Linked DNA regions of Diceros bicornis minor. The protein of the gene in region 1 purifies or fractionates together with the protein of each later gene. This does not show direct contact. Links are inferred from orthologs where the notes say so. Each region holds a gene or a part of one and is shown on either strand. Other genes may lie near its edges.

Region 1 (5,939 bases):
CCACTCAAACTAAAGGGAGTTAGTGCTTCAAACTATGCTGTGTCTTATCCTCTCCAATATCAATTGCTGGCTAAGAAATTTACATTTGCAGGTAATAGAAGGTGTAAAACCAGGCCTCGTGGGAAGGGGCGACTAGTACTTTTTTTAAAGGTTTGGGTACATTAGCCATTCTGAGAGTTACCACCCACAAAGGCTGTGTGCTCAGGGCTTTACCTTTCTAGGATTTCTACAGCCTGGTAGCTCACAGATTTCTCCAGACACCATTGTTCAGACAGGAGAAAAACAAACTCTGCCAAAACAGGAAAGAATAGCCTAATTCACAAGGTGCAACCAAAACCACTCTGTGAACTCTTGGCATTGTGTAAAAGCCATGGTGGGGCCAAGGGAAGAGGGTCAGGAGGTGAGAAAGATGAGACTGAAACAACTCAAGCTGAGCTTAGTTCCCTATGCTGCCAATAGGCAGATCAGAGGTATGAAAAGGAGGCTGACAGAGTGCCAAAGACAAGGGCTTACCAAGGCCCCTCAGTGATCCTTGAGCCTTCCTGTGGGTCTCAGCTGATAAAAGGTTTGGCCAGCTACACACAAACATACCAGCTGGTCTAGTTGGCCTCTACACCATGCTGGGAACCCCCAGCTTCAAGGGAGATTCTTGGATGGATAAAAACCCTAACCCCTATATTCTGTTTTCAGTGGAATGTTGACAGGAACAGAAAGGTCCCTCCTGGAGCTTCAATATTCTTTATAACACTGTTTGTTTAGTAACCACCCTCTGGAGAACTCCCATTGCTTTACAAACACCATTCGCCTTACAGCTGGACACCATCTCTCCAACCCCCGTTTGTTGGGTAAATCTTTGGCGGCTGAGCCTCTCCCCAGGAGCAAGTTTGGTACTGTGGAGTGGCTTGTTTTGAAGAAGCATCCGCTAAATCAGGGAACATAGCCCACTTTGGGGAGGGGAGGGTCATTGGGAAGATACCTTGGCAAGATTTGGGCTGCCTGTTTCTCTTTGAAAGAACAGCCCCAGATAGTATTCTATTTAGTTTGCAATATCATTAGAGGGTGGAAACAAGAGTAAATGTTAGTTCTTAACAAAGAAAGCTCCTACAGAACTAGGAACTTTTAGCTCTGATAAGCAAAGAATTACACAGTCAGATTACCATATGTCTTCAGAGAAAATTTGACTTACGAAAAAAGAAAATTATAAAAGTCAAGTTAGCACAAGACACTTTAACAATCTACTCGACACGTTACACATGGATAAATGTACAAAACCTTATCATTACAGACATTAAAGCTCTGCTAGCAGTGTCCAGTGCAGAAGAGAATTAGTTAAGCAATTAAGCAAAATACCCTAGAACACATAATTGTGTGTTATCAGCCAGTCCTTTTATTTGCTGGAGTTTAGCCCTTATTTCTTTGTCTTGTTTTTTTATGTGCATGTAGTTGTTTGGTTTTGTTTTGGTTTTTGTCTGAATTATCCGGGCAGTTGTTTCTATTTTCCATTTTAATTTGCCAAGAAAACTGAGCTTGAATTAGGGGGAATGGATGAGGGTTACACGTCTCCCTCAGTGCTGGCTCCACCTCCTGCACTTATAAACATACTCAGATCTGCTATTAACTGAAAGGCCCCCCTTCTATCGTCTTAAGCTAGGGCTCTATCTCACTAGTTTCCATCACTGTTAAATTTCTTGAAAGCCTTGCTTACACCTGCTGCTTATACTTCATCATTCACCCCCTAATGTTCTGCAATTTGACTTCTAGTTTTCCCAACTTGCTGAAATGATTATCTCAAAGGTCAGCAAATATATCCAAATTGTTCAATTTCATGGCCCTTTTGCAATCCTCATTCCCGTTGTTCATATCGCCGAAGCGTCTGAAACTGCTGACCATCATCCTTCTTGAAACTCTCCTCTTGGCTTCCAAAGGTCCCTTGATTCTGTTCCTATCTCCCCAACCACTCCTTTTATTTCCTTCATGGCTCTTCTTCCTAATCCAATTCCCTGAACACAAAATGTTTCCCAAGGAACTGTCCTTGACCTGCTTCTCTCTTCTCTCTCTAGGAGCTCATCCTCTGCCACAGTTTCAACAGTATCCTTATGGAGATAACTCCCAAACCTTTATCTCTAGTTCTGACCTCTCTTCTGACAGTTGTTAAACAGCCCAAAGAAACCTTCCTTTAGGGCCGGCCCCGTGGCTTAGTGGTTAAGTGCGCGCGCTCCGCTACTGGTGGCCCAGGTTCGGATCCCGGGCACGCACCGACGCACCGCTTCTCTGGCCATGCTGAGGCCGCGTCCCACATACGGCAACTAGAAGGATGTGCAACTGTGACATACAGCTATCTACTGGGGCTTTGGGGAAAAAAACGAGGAGGATTGGGAATAGATGTTAGCTCAAGGGGTGATCTTCCTCACAAAAAAAAAAAAAAGCGGCGGGGGGGGGGGTTAATGAAGCCTTCCTCTAGATGTTCTACAAGCACCTGAAACTGAGTTGATCCAAAACCAAAGCTATGGTCTTTCTCAAACAAAAGTCACATTTCCTCCTGTTTTATTTTTTTAATGTACATGTAGGGGCCGCCCGGTGGCGTAGCGGTAAAGTTCACGCACTCAGCTTCTGCGGCCCAGGGTTTGCCGGTTTGGAGCCTGGGCACGGACCTACTTGCCGCTCATCAAGCCATGCTCTGGCGGTATCCCATATACAAAATGGAGGAAGATTGGCACAGATGTTAGCTCAGGGACACTCTCCCTCACCAAAAAAAAAAAAAAAAAGAATGTGTATGTTTCTCTTAATGGCACCACTATACTCCCAGTCTCCTAGGATCGACCCTTTGGCATAGTAATCTTTGCCTTCTTCACTTCTTAAATTCATCCATTGCAGAACCCTAGACTTCACCTCTGAAATGTTTCTAATCCATCCTCCCTTGTCATTCTCTCTGCCCTATCACCTAAACTACTAATACTGACTCCACTGGTCTACCTACCTCCCCTCTCTCTCTACTCCAATCCATCCTTTACCTCACAGCCAAAATAATTTTTTCTAAGGAAAAGGTTATAGTCATATCACTCCCATATTTAAAAACCTTCAATGCCTTCTTGTTTTCCTACTAAGCCAAGTATAGCATTCAGAGTTCCACATGGAGTGTCTCCAAACTACCTCTCTAGTCTTAATTTCCACTATTCCACATGCTCTGGCCAACCTGCGGCATTGTACTCACCGTATTGGACTTCCTATCGTACTTCCCTATTTCCATGGCTTTACTCATGCTATCCCCTTCTGGTAGAAACGCTATCCCCCTTCTGCACCTTCTCCAACCAAAATGTCATCCTTCCTTCAAAGCCTACCTCAAAAGCCATGAGGCCTGGAGGACTCCTTTAATTCTTCTTGCCCCCACCTCACTCCATCACTCCTCTCAATCCAGATAAAAGCTTTTTCAGGTAAAAGCTTGTTTTATCTGGTATGTCAGGTATCTAACCATACTTGTACCTATTCACTTGCAGATTTGTCCTAATATCCTCCAAAGATCATACATGGTTTGAGAGCAGGGACTAGATCTCTATTTCATCTTTCTATCTCAGGCAGTGTGGATAACAGGTATGCATGCTGAAATCAAGGGCAGGGTGCTGGGGTGTCTTGTTCATCACTATATCCCCAGCACCTGGAACAGAGTAGGGACTAACAAGACTTATTTGAATGAATAAAGTAAACTGAATGTCAAGGCCGGCGCCTCAAAGACAGATGCCCAGACTCCCATAACCCCGGCTCCCTGCCCTGCATCCACACCCACGATCCGGGTCTCCCTGAAGCTGCCCGTCCAGCCGGCAGCCTCCCGCACCGCTTGCTCATTCTGCTGGGCCAAGTGGAGCAGAGCGTCTTCGATCGTCTCGGTGGTCACGGCTCCAAACTGAAAGTCACCGAGGGAGGCCAATCTTGGTCCGTCCATTTTCAGAAGCCTTTTCGGGCACCCGGATAGCTCACTGGATCTTAAACTGACCCCCTTAGTTTCTCTCTAGAGTCTTCTGCCACACGCTGGATTCCTCGTCCCCGTCTGTGTGCTTGTCCTCGCCTCAAGTCTGAGGAAAACCCAATTCCCACCACAGCCTCGAGCCCTCAACAGCCTTTTCCCGCCCCAACGGCCGCGGACCCCTCAGCCAATCAGAAAGCACGGCCTCTACCCGTCTCCCCCGCCCTTTCCCTAAGCGCGGAGAGCCGCACTCTGTCGGTAAAAGAAAGGCGAACTACAACTCCCAGCTTTCCCTGCGGCAGCCAAGGACTGCTTCCCAGCAGTCCTCGCGTCCTGGGACTGGGAAGGGTGGAGCGGCAACATGGCGGCGTCGGGACCTGGTGGCCCTCTCGATGCTAAGAGTGGAGAGGCCCCTCCGGCTCGGCGCATCGACCCGACTCGGGAGAAGCTGACTCCCGCGCAACTGCAATTCATGCGGCAGGTGCAGCTCGCCCAGTGGCAGAAGACGCTGCCACAGCGGCGGACCCGGAACATCATCACCGGCTTGGGCATCGGGGCCCTGGTGTTAGCTATTTGTATCCGTCCGCACTGTAGACTCAGGGAGACCGCAAATGGGGGCAGGGGAAGGGGAGCTGAAGCATGGAGGAGGGCGGTGTGGGGGTGGCAGAGAGAACCTGAGCTGTGAAAGTCTTGGCTACTTCTAACGTAGAGCCAAGCGTTTAATGTGCCTTACTTTGTCATTTTAAGGTGCTCTTTTAGTATAATTTGTTAATAATAACAGAGTCGGGGTCAGGGCTCAGAAGAGCAGAGGGCAGGAGGTCGAATCACTCATTTGGGAGGATGAGAGATTAACAAGGGCGGTGGAGCAAATCTAGGAAAAGGGAATGTGCATACATATTTTAAGTGGCTTCCTGAACCCACCTCCCCAGATGGTTACACCTTCTACTCGGTGTCCCAGGAGCGTTTTCTAGATGAGCTGGAGGATGAGGTCAAAGCTGCTCGAGCCCGGGCTCTGGAAAGGACATCAGGACCCTAATCCAGATGGACATCGCACATCTCCAACCTGCTGGAGCCCCTTCATGTGATGGATGTTGCTCCTTGACCCTGTAGAAATGGAAGCCTTCTGATAGCATCGCTGCCCTAACTAACGTTGGATGATGACTGAGCCCAAGAAGCCAGGGATTTATGCATTTGGCCATCGTCAAGAGAACATTGCCCACCTCACACTCACTGTGTGTGGCGACTGAGCCCTTCTTGTAGTTCCTTTCCTTGTTTGAGAGGTATCTGACCTTAGCTTTTCCCAGGTTTTCTGACTTTGTGGTTTATCCCTTTCACCTACCAGGGACTGGGAGGATGGAGGATCAGAGGTGGGCTGTTAATGGGGGATAGGTGTGGCAGCTCTGTGCAGTGTTGGAGCCTAAAGTGGGAAGAATGGGGTCAGGTTGAGAATAAAAACTGAGTCATCTCTCTTGGAGTCAAATGAGTGTGTTGGGGCTGACACTTCATACTGGAAAGCTCCGTAAGCAGTAGCTGCAGCAGTGGTATTGCCCCAGGTAGCCGTAAATGTTTAACCAGAATTACTTTTTCCATGAGATCTTTCCACCTGATTTAAGGGCAACATCATGGTGGGTCACTGGACTGTTTGCAACTGAACCATGTTTTGGGGGAAGGAAGGTCACTCTTCTGTCCTCTACCCTCAAGAGCAACACACTACTCCAACTTTACTGCCTTTTCCCATCCCGAGACAGAGAGAGAGAGGCAGATGAAGGGTGATGGACAAGCAGCTTTTTTTAACTTCCACAGAGGCCTGTTTGTGTAGGCCAAAGGTGGGGTCTGGATGGGATCTTAGCTTGGTCAAGTGGATCATTAACCTTGCAGTTTCCTCATGAACTGCTGGCAGGACGCCAGAAGTCTGGGCAGCTTCTACCCGTGCCTGCCATTGTGAGGGGAGAGTCCCTTCTAAATCCTCCCGCCTTACCCC
Region 2 (6,422 bases), on another chromosome or scaffold:
TGTAGGAGTCAAAGGTTAGGTCTTCGTAGTCTGTGTATTCATAACTTCAGTATCATTGATGCCCTATAGTTTTAACGGTTAGGGAGGGGTTATTGATCTCATCTATTATATAGAGGATTCGTAGCGATGGGAGGGCAATTAGGATTAGGATAATAGCCGGTAGGATGGTTCAAATAGTCTCTACTTCTTGTGCGTCTATAGTGCTTGTGTGTGTTAGTTTAGTTGTTAGCATGAGTGAAATAATGTATAATACTAAAGAACTAATTAGGAATACAATCATTAATGTGTGGTCGTGAAAGTGAAGTAGTTCTTCTATGATAGGGGATGTTGCGTCTTGAAATCCTAGTTGGAGCGGGTAGGCCATAGAGATATATAGAGGCTTAATCTATAACTTAACTTTGACAAAGTTATGTAATTTTTACTAATATCTCATTTATTGGGAGAGAGAAAGACATAGAGGTTATGATATTGGCTTGAAACCAGTTAGAGGGGGTTCAATTCCTTCCTTTCTTATTTTAGGTTTACGTAGACAGGCTCTTCGAATGTATGATATGGGGGAGGGCATCCGTGTAGCCATTCAAGGTTAGAGGTGGTTAGTTCTACTGTTGATACCTCTCGTTTAGATGCGAATGCTTCTCAAATTATAAAGACTATAAGTATTACTGCTGTAAGCGAGATGAAGGACCCTATAGAGGAGATAGTGTTTCATGTTGTGTATGCATCTGGGTAGTCTGAGTAGCGACGTGGCATCCCTGAGAGACCAAGGAAGTGCTGTGGAAAGAAGGTTATATTCACTCCTACGAATATAATTATGAAGTGGATTTTTGCTCAGGTTTGGTTGAGTGTGTATCCTGAGAATAGGGGGAATCAGTGGACGAACCCTCCTATGATAGCAAAAACTGCTCCTATAGATAAAACATAGTGGAAATGTGCTACTACGTAGTATGTGTCGTGAAGTACGATATCTAATGATGAGTTGGCTAAAACAATCCCTGTTAAGCCTCCCACTGTGAATAAGAAAATAAAGCCTAGGGCCCATAGTATAGCTGGTGATCATTTGATGTTTCCTCCATGAAGGGTAGCTAATCAGCTGAATACTTTTACGCCAGTGGGAATAGCGATGATTATAGTGGCGGATGTGAAGTATGCTCGTGTGTCAACGTCCATGCCAACAGTAAATATGTGGTGGGCTCATACAATGAATCCTAGGAATCCGATAGATATTATAGCTCAGACTATTCCTATATAGCCGAAAGGTTCTTTTTTTCCTGAGTAATATGTAACAATATGTGAGATTATTCCAAAGCCTGGTAGGATTAGAATATAGACTTCAGGGTGGCCGAAAAATCAAAAGAGGTGTTGGTATAAGATTGGGTCGCCTCCCCCTGCTGGGTCGAAGAAAGTAGTGTTCAGGTTACGGTCTGTTAGTAGCATGGTAATTCCTGCTGCTAAGACTGGAAGTGCTAGTAATAGGAGTACAGCTGTAATTAAAACGGATCACACGAATAGGGGCGTTTGATATTGGGATATGGCTGGTGGTTTTATATTAATAATTGTGGTAATAAAATTAATGGCACCTAGAATTGAGGATACTCCGGCTAGGTGTAGGGAGAAGATGGTTAGGTCAACAGAGGCTCCTGCGTGGGCTAGATTTCCAGCTAAGGGCGGATAAACAGTTCAGCCTGTCCCGGCACCGGCTTCGACTATCGAGGATGCGAGTAGAAGAAGAAATGATGGTGGGAGAAGTCAGAAACTTATATTGTTTATTCGCGGGAATGCTATGTCGGGTGCCCCAATTATTAAGGGGACTAGCCAGTTTCCGAATCCTCCGATTATGATGGGCATAACTATAAAGAAAATTATTACGAACGCATGAGCGGTTACAATTACGTTATAGATTTGGTCGTCTCCTAGTAAGGTTCCAGGTTGACCCAGTTCAGCGCGAATTAGAAGGCTTAGGGCGGTTCCCACTATTCCAGCTCAAGCGCCAAATAATAGGTAAAGAGTGCCAATGTCTTTGTGGTTGGTTGAAAATAGTCAGCGGTTGATGAACATAGGTAAAATGGCTGAGATAGCATTAGACTGTAAATCTAAAGACAGAGGTTGTAGCCCTCTTTTTGCCAGGCCCTGTGGTGAATTTCATGTTGAATTGCAAATTCAGAGAAGCAGCTTCAATTCTGCCGGGGCTTCTCCCGCCTTTTTCCTGAGCGGCGGGAGAAGTAGATTGAAGCCAGTTGATTAGGGTATTTAGCTGTTAACTAAAATTTCGTGGGATAGTGGCCCACCAATCTAGGGAGGGTTTAGCTTAATTAAAGTGTTTGATTTGCATTCAGTTGATGTAAGATAGAGTCTTGCAGCCCTTAGTTGGCAGGAATTAAGTGATTTATACTTGCTTAGGGCTTTGAAGGCTCTTGGTCTGGTGTAACCTAAATTCCTAGTTCAGAATGGATATGATTGGTGTTAGTGGGAGGAGCAAGGTTGATATGATGATTAGTGTAGGTAGGAAATTTATTCGTTTTGAGTTTTCAAATTGTCATTTTATTTTTATGTTGTTTATTGATGGGAATATTGTTAGTGAGGTGGAGTAGGTTAGGCGTATATAGAAGTATAGGTTGAGTAGGGCTATAATGGCTATGGATGTTGGTAGGATGATGCTGTCATTTTTTGTTAGTTCTTGAATGATTATTCATTTGGGGATGAACCCGGATAGTGGTGGTAGACCTCCTAGTGATAGTATGGTGATTAGGATGAGCGAGGTAATTAGGGGTGTTTTGTTTCATGTGAGGGAGAGTGATAGTATTGTGGTTGAGGAGTTGAGTATAAATAATATGAATGTAGTGAGTGTTATTATGATGTAGATTAGCATGTTGAGTATTGTTATTGTTGGGTTATATATTAGAATAGCTGTTATTCATCCTATATGGGCAATTGATGAGTATGCTATGATTTTTCGTAGTTGAGTTTGGTTGAGGCCTCCTCACCCTCCTACTAGGATAGAAAGGAGGGCCGTAGCCATTAGTATATTTGGGTTAATGGAAGGTGCAATTTGGTATAGGACTGATATTGGTGCTAGTTTTTGTCATGTGAGCAGGATTAGGCCAGATATTAGTGAAATGCCTTGGGTAACTTCGGGTACTCAGAAGTGGAATGGGGAAAGTCCGAGTTTTATGACGAGAGCTGATGTTATAATGATAGATGCTGTTGGATTGAAGATTTTTGTGATTGTCCATTGGCCTGAGAATATAAGGTTGATGATGATTGCTATTATGAGGAGTATTGATGCGGTGGTTTGTGTTAGGAAGTATTTGGTTGCTGCTTCTATGGCTCGTGGGTTAAAATTTTTTATTAGGATGGGGATGATGGCTAATAGGTTTATTTCGAAGCCGATTCAGATTATTAATCAGTGTGAGCTTGTTATTACAATTATAGTCCCTAGGATGGCGGTTGTCAAGATGGTTGAGAAAACAATTGGGTTTATTAGTACGGGAAGGGTATAATCCAACATTTTCGGGGTATGGGCCCGATAGCTTGTTTAGCTGACCTTACTTGTAGAATGTGGTGTATTTTGGTAGCACGGAGATTTTTGAGTTCTTAAGAGTAGGTTCAATTCCTATCGTTTTAGAAATAAGAGGACTTGAACCTCTATTGTTTACTCTATCAAAGTAATTCTTTTGTCAGACATATTTCTTATGTTTGTGGGGGGATGCTTGATGTTGTGATTGGTAGTGATACATGTCATATGCATAGTGCTAGAGTGAGGGGTAGGAAATTTTTTCACAGAAGGTGTATGAGTTGATCGTATCGGAATCGTGGATAGGATGCTCGGATTCATAGAAAGGATGTGGTTAGTAGTAGGGTTTTAGTAGTGAAGTTGATTGTGTATAGTTCTGATATGTAGGGGTTGTGGAATGCTCCTAGAAATAGGATGGTAGTGAAAGCGTTTATTATAATAATGTTTGCGTACTCTGCTATGAAAAATAGGGCGAATGGGCCGGCTGCGTATTCGACATTGAAGCCAGATACTAATTCTGATTCTCCTTCTGTTAGGTCGAAGGGAGCTCGGTTGGTTTCTGCTAGTGTTGAGATAAATCATATTATGGTTAGTGGTCATGATGGGAAGATTAGTCATAGGTGTTCTTGGGTGGTGATTAGTGTGGATAGTGTAAATGACCCATTTATTAGTAGTACGGAGAGAAGGATAATTGCTAGAGTTACTTCGTATGAGATTGTTTGGGCTACTGCTCGTAGGGCTCCAATTAGTGCATATTTTGAGTTTGAAGCCCATCCTGATCATAGGATGGAGTAGACGGCTAGGCTTGATATGGCAAGTATGAACAGGATTCCTAGGTTTATGTTGATTAGGGGATATGGTATTGGTAATGGAATTCATATTGTTAGGGCTAGGGTTAGAGCTAAGATTGGGGCAATGATAAATATGGTTGTTGATGATGTTGATGGTTGTAGTGGTTCTTTAGTGAATAGTTTGATTGCGTCGGCAATTGGTTGGAGTAGGCCATAGGGGCCTACAATGTTTGGTCCTTTTCGAAGTTGTATGTAGCCTAGTACTTTCCGTTCAACTAGTGTAAGGAATGCTACGGCGAGTAGGATTGGGATGACTAGGAGGAGAATGTTAATTGTGAACATGTTGTTAGGAAGAGGAGTTGAACCTCTGGTTATAAAGGTTTAAGTTTTATGCAATTGCCGGGCTCTGCCATCCTAACGTGGCCCTGGTCTAGGGCAATGTTATGTATAAATTAATTAGATTGAGATTATATCATCTATTGGTTTGAAGGCGCTTTTGTGAAGTGGGCCTTATTTCTCTTTTCCTTTCGTACTGGGAGAAGTATTGAATAGATAGAAACCGACCTGGATTACTCCGGTCTGAACTCAGATCACGTAGGACTTTAATCGTTGAACAAACGAACCATTAATAGCGGTTGCACCATTGGGGTGTCCTGATCCAACATCGAGGTCGTAAACCCTATTGTCGATATGGACTCTAGAATAGGATTGCGCTGTTATCCCTAGGGTAACTTGTTCCGTTGATCAATAGTTTGGATCAATAAGTGATGTGATATTTTTGACTGGTAAGTCTGGAATTTAATCACTCGGAGGTTGATTTGTTCTCCGAGGTCACCCCAACCGAAATTGCTGATTCAGTCAAAGTTTTGTTATCCCTTGGATGTAGGTTAGAGATTTTATTTTTGTGAATTAGCTAATTAAAGCTCCATAGGGTCTTCTCGTCTTATTGTGTCATTCCCGCCTCTTCACGGGAAGGTCAATTTCACTGATTGAAAGTAAGAGACAGTAAAACCCTCGTGTGGCCATTCATACAGGTCCCTATTTAGGGAACAAGTGATTACGCTACCTTTGCACGGTTAGGATACCGCGGCCGTTGAAACAGATGTCACTGGGCAGGCAGTGCCTCTAATACTAGATATGCTGGAGGTGATGTTTTTGGTAAACAGGCGGGGTTTGTGTTTGCCGAGTTCCTTTTACTTTTTTTAATCTTTCCTTTAAAGTGCATGCCTGTGTTGGGTTAACAGTTAGTTTAATAGATGATTTATTGTTAGATTATATCTATTTTGTTGTTAACTATCAGTGATTATTCGTTCTGATATAGGCTTATGCGAGGAGAAATAATTCTTGTTACTCATATTAACATTATTGCTTCTATTTGTTGATAGATTAGTCCAATATTAAATTAGGAGTTAGTTAGTTGTTGTTGAGATTAAGGTAGCTGTGCTGTTGAGCTTGGACGCTTTCTTAATTGGTGGCTGCTTTTAGGCCAACTATGTGTGATCTAGATCTTACTCTCTAATGAAGGTTGTAGCCTGTGTCTAAAGAGCTGTACCCCTTTAGAGTATAATTTAAATTTACATTGGAGTTGTGGGGCTTTTAGGTAAATTTAGATTTGAACTTACATTCTGTTTTGGACAACCAGCTATCACCAGGCTCGATAGGCTTTTCACCTCTACCTATAAATCTTCTCACTATTTTGCGACATAGATGAGTTCGTTCGTTTTGGGGCTGTTCGTAGGTAGCTCGTCTGGTTTCGGGAAGTTTAACTTAAGTTCTCTTTGCTAAAACTGTTCTAGTTAAATCATTATGCAAAAGGTAAAAGGGGTAAGCTTTGCTGTTTAGTACTTTTAAGACTTCTTTCATCGTTCCCTTGCGGTACTTTCTCTATAGCGCCAGTTAAAAATTTCTATCTCCTATACTTTAATAGGTTTGGGTAAATGTTTTGTTTAGGTAGGTTTGTAATAGTTGGATTGGGGTCTGTTTGGGCTAGCTTTGGTTCAAAGTGGTCATTTTGTGTGAAATCTCCTGGGTGTAAGCTAGGTGCTTTGTTTAAGCTACACTTTGATTGTCCAAGCGCACTTTCCAGTACGCTTACCTTGTTACGACTTGTCTCCTTTTAT

What was found. Proteins that work in one complex are often made in the same cells at the same time.
Region 2: the proteins of cytochrome c oxidase assembly factor 3 homolog, mitochondrial (region 1) and COX1 purify together in Homo sapiens (affinity purification with western blotting; 3 studies listed by BioGRID and IntAct, with this or other methods). This does not show direct contact. The link is inferred for Diceros bicornis minor from reciprocal best matches to the Homo sapiens genes COA3 and COX1.

Annotation. Positions count from the first base shown.
Region 1 is NC_080757.1:41,815,073-41,821,011, reverse strand, and holds cytochrome c oxidase assembly factor 3 homolog, mitochondrial, read left to right. Parts: upstream 1-4,295; 5' UTR 4,296-4,319; coding exon 4,320-4,533; intron 4,534-4,887; coding exon 4,888-4,994; 3' UTR 4,995-5,432; downstream 5,433-5,939. Other genes in the region: CNTD1 (cyclin N-terminal domain-containing protein 1), read right to left, coding at 214-289, 3,778-3,937. UniProt on the Homo sapiens protein: Core component of the MITRAC (mitochondrial translation regulation assembly intermediate of cytochrome c oxidase complex) complex, that regulates cytochrome c oxidase assembly.
Region 2 is NC_012682.1:984-7,405, reverse strand, and holds COX1 (cytochrome c oxidase subunit I), read right to left. Parts: upstream 2,056-6,422; coding exon 511-2,055; downstream 1-510. Other genes in the region: COX2 (cytochrome c oxidase subunit II), read right to left, coding at 1-364. UniProt on the Homo sapiens protein: Component of the cytochrome c oxidase, the last enzyme in the mitochondrial electron transport chain which drives oxidative phosphorylation.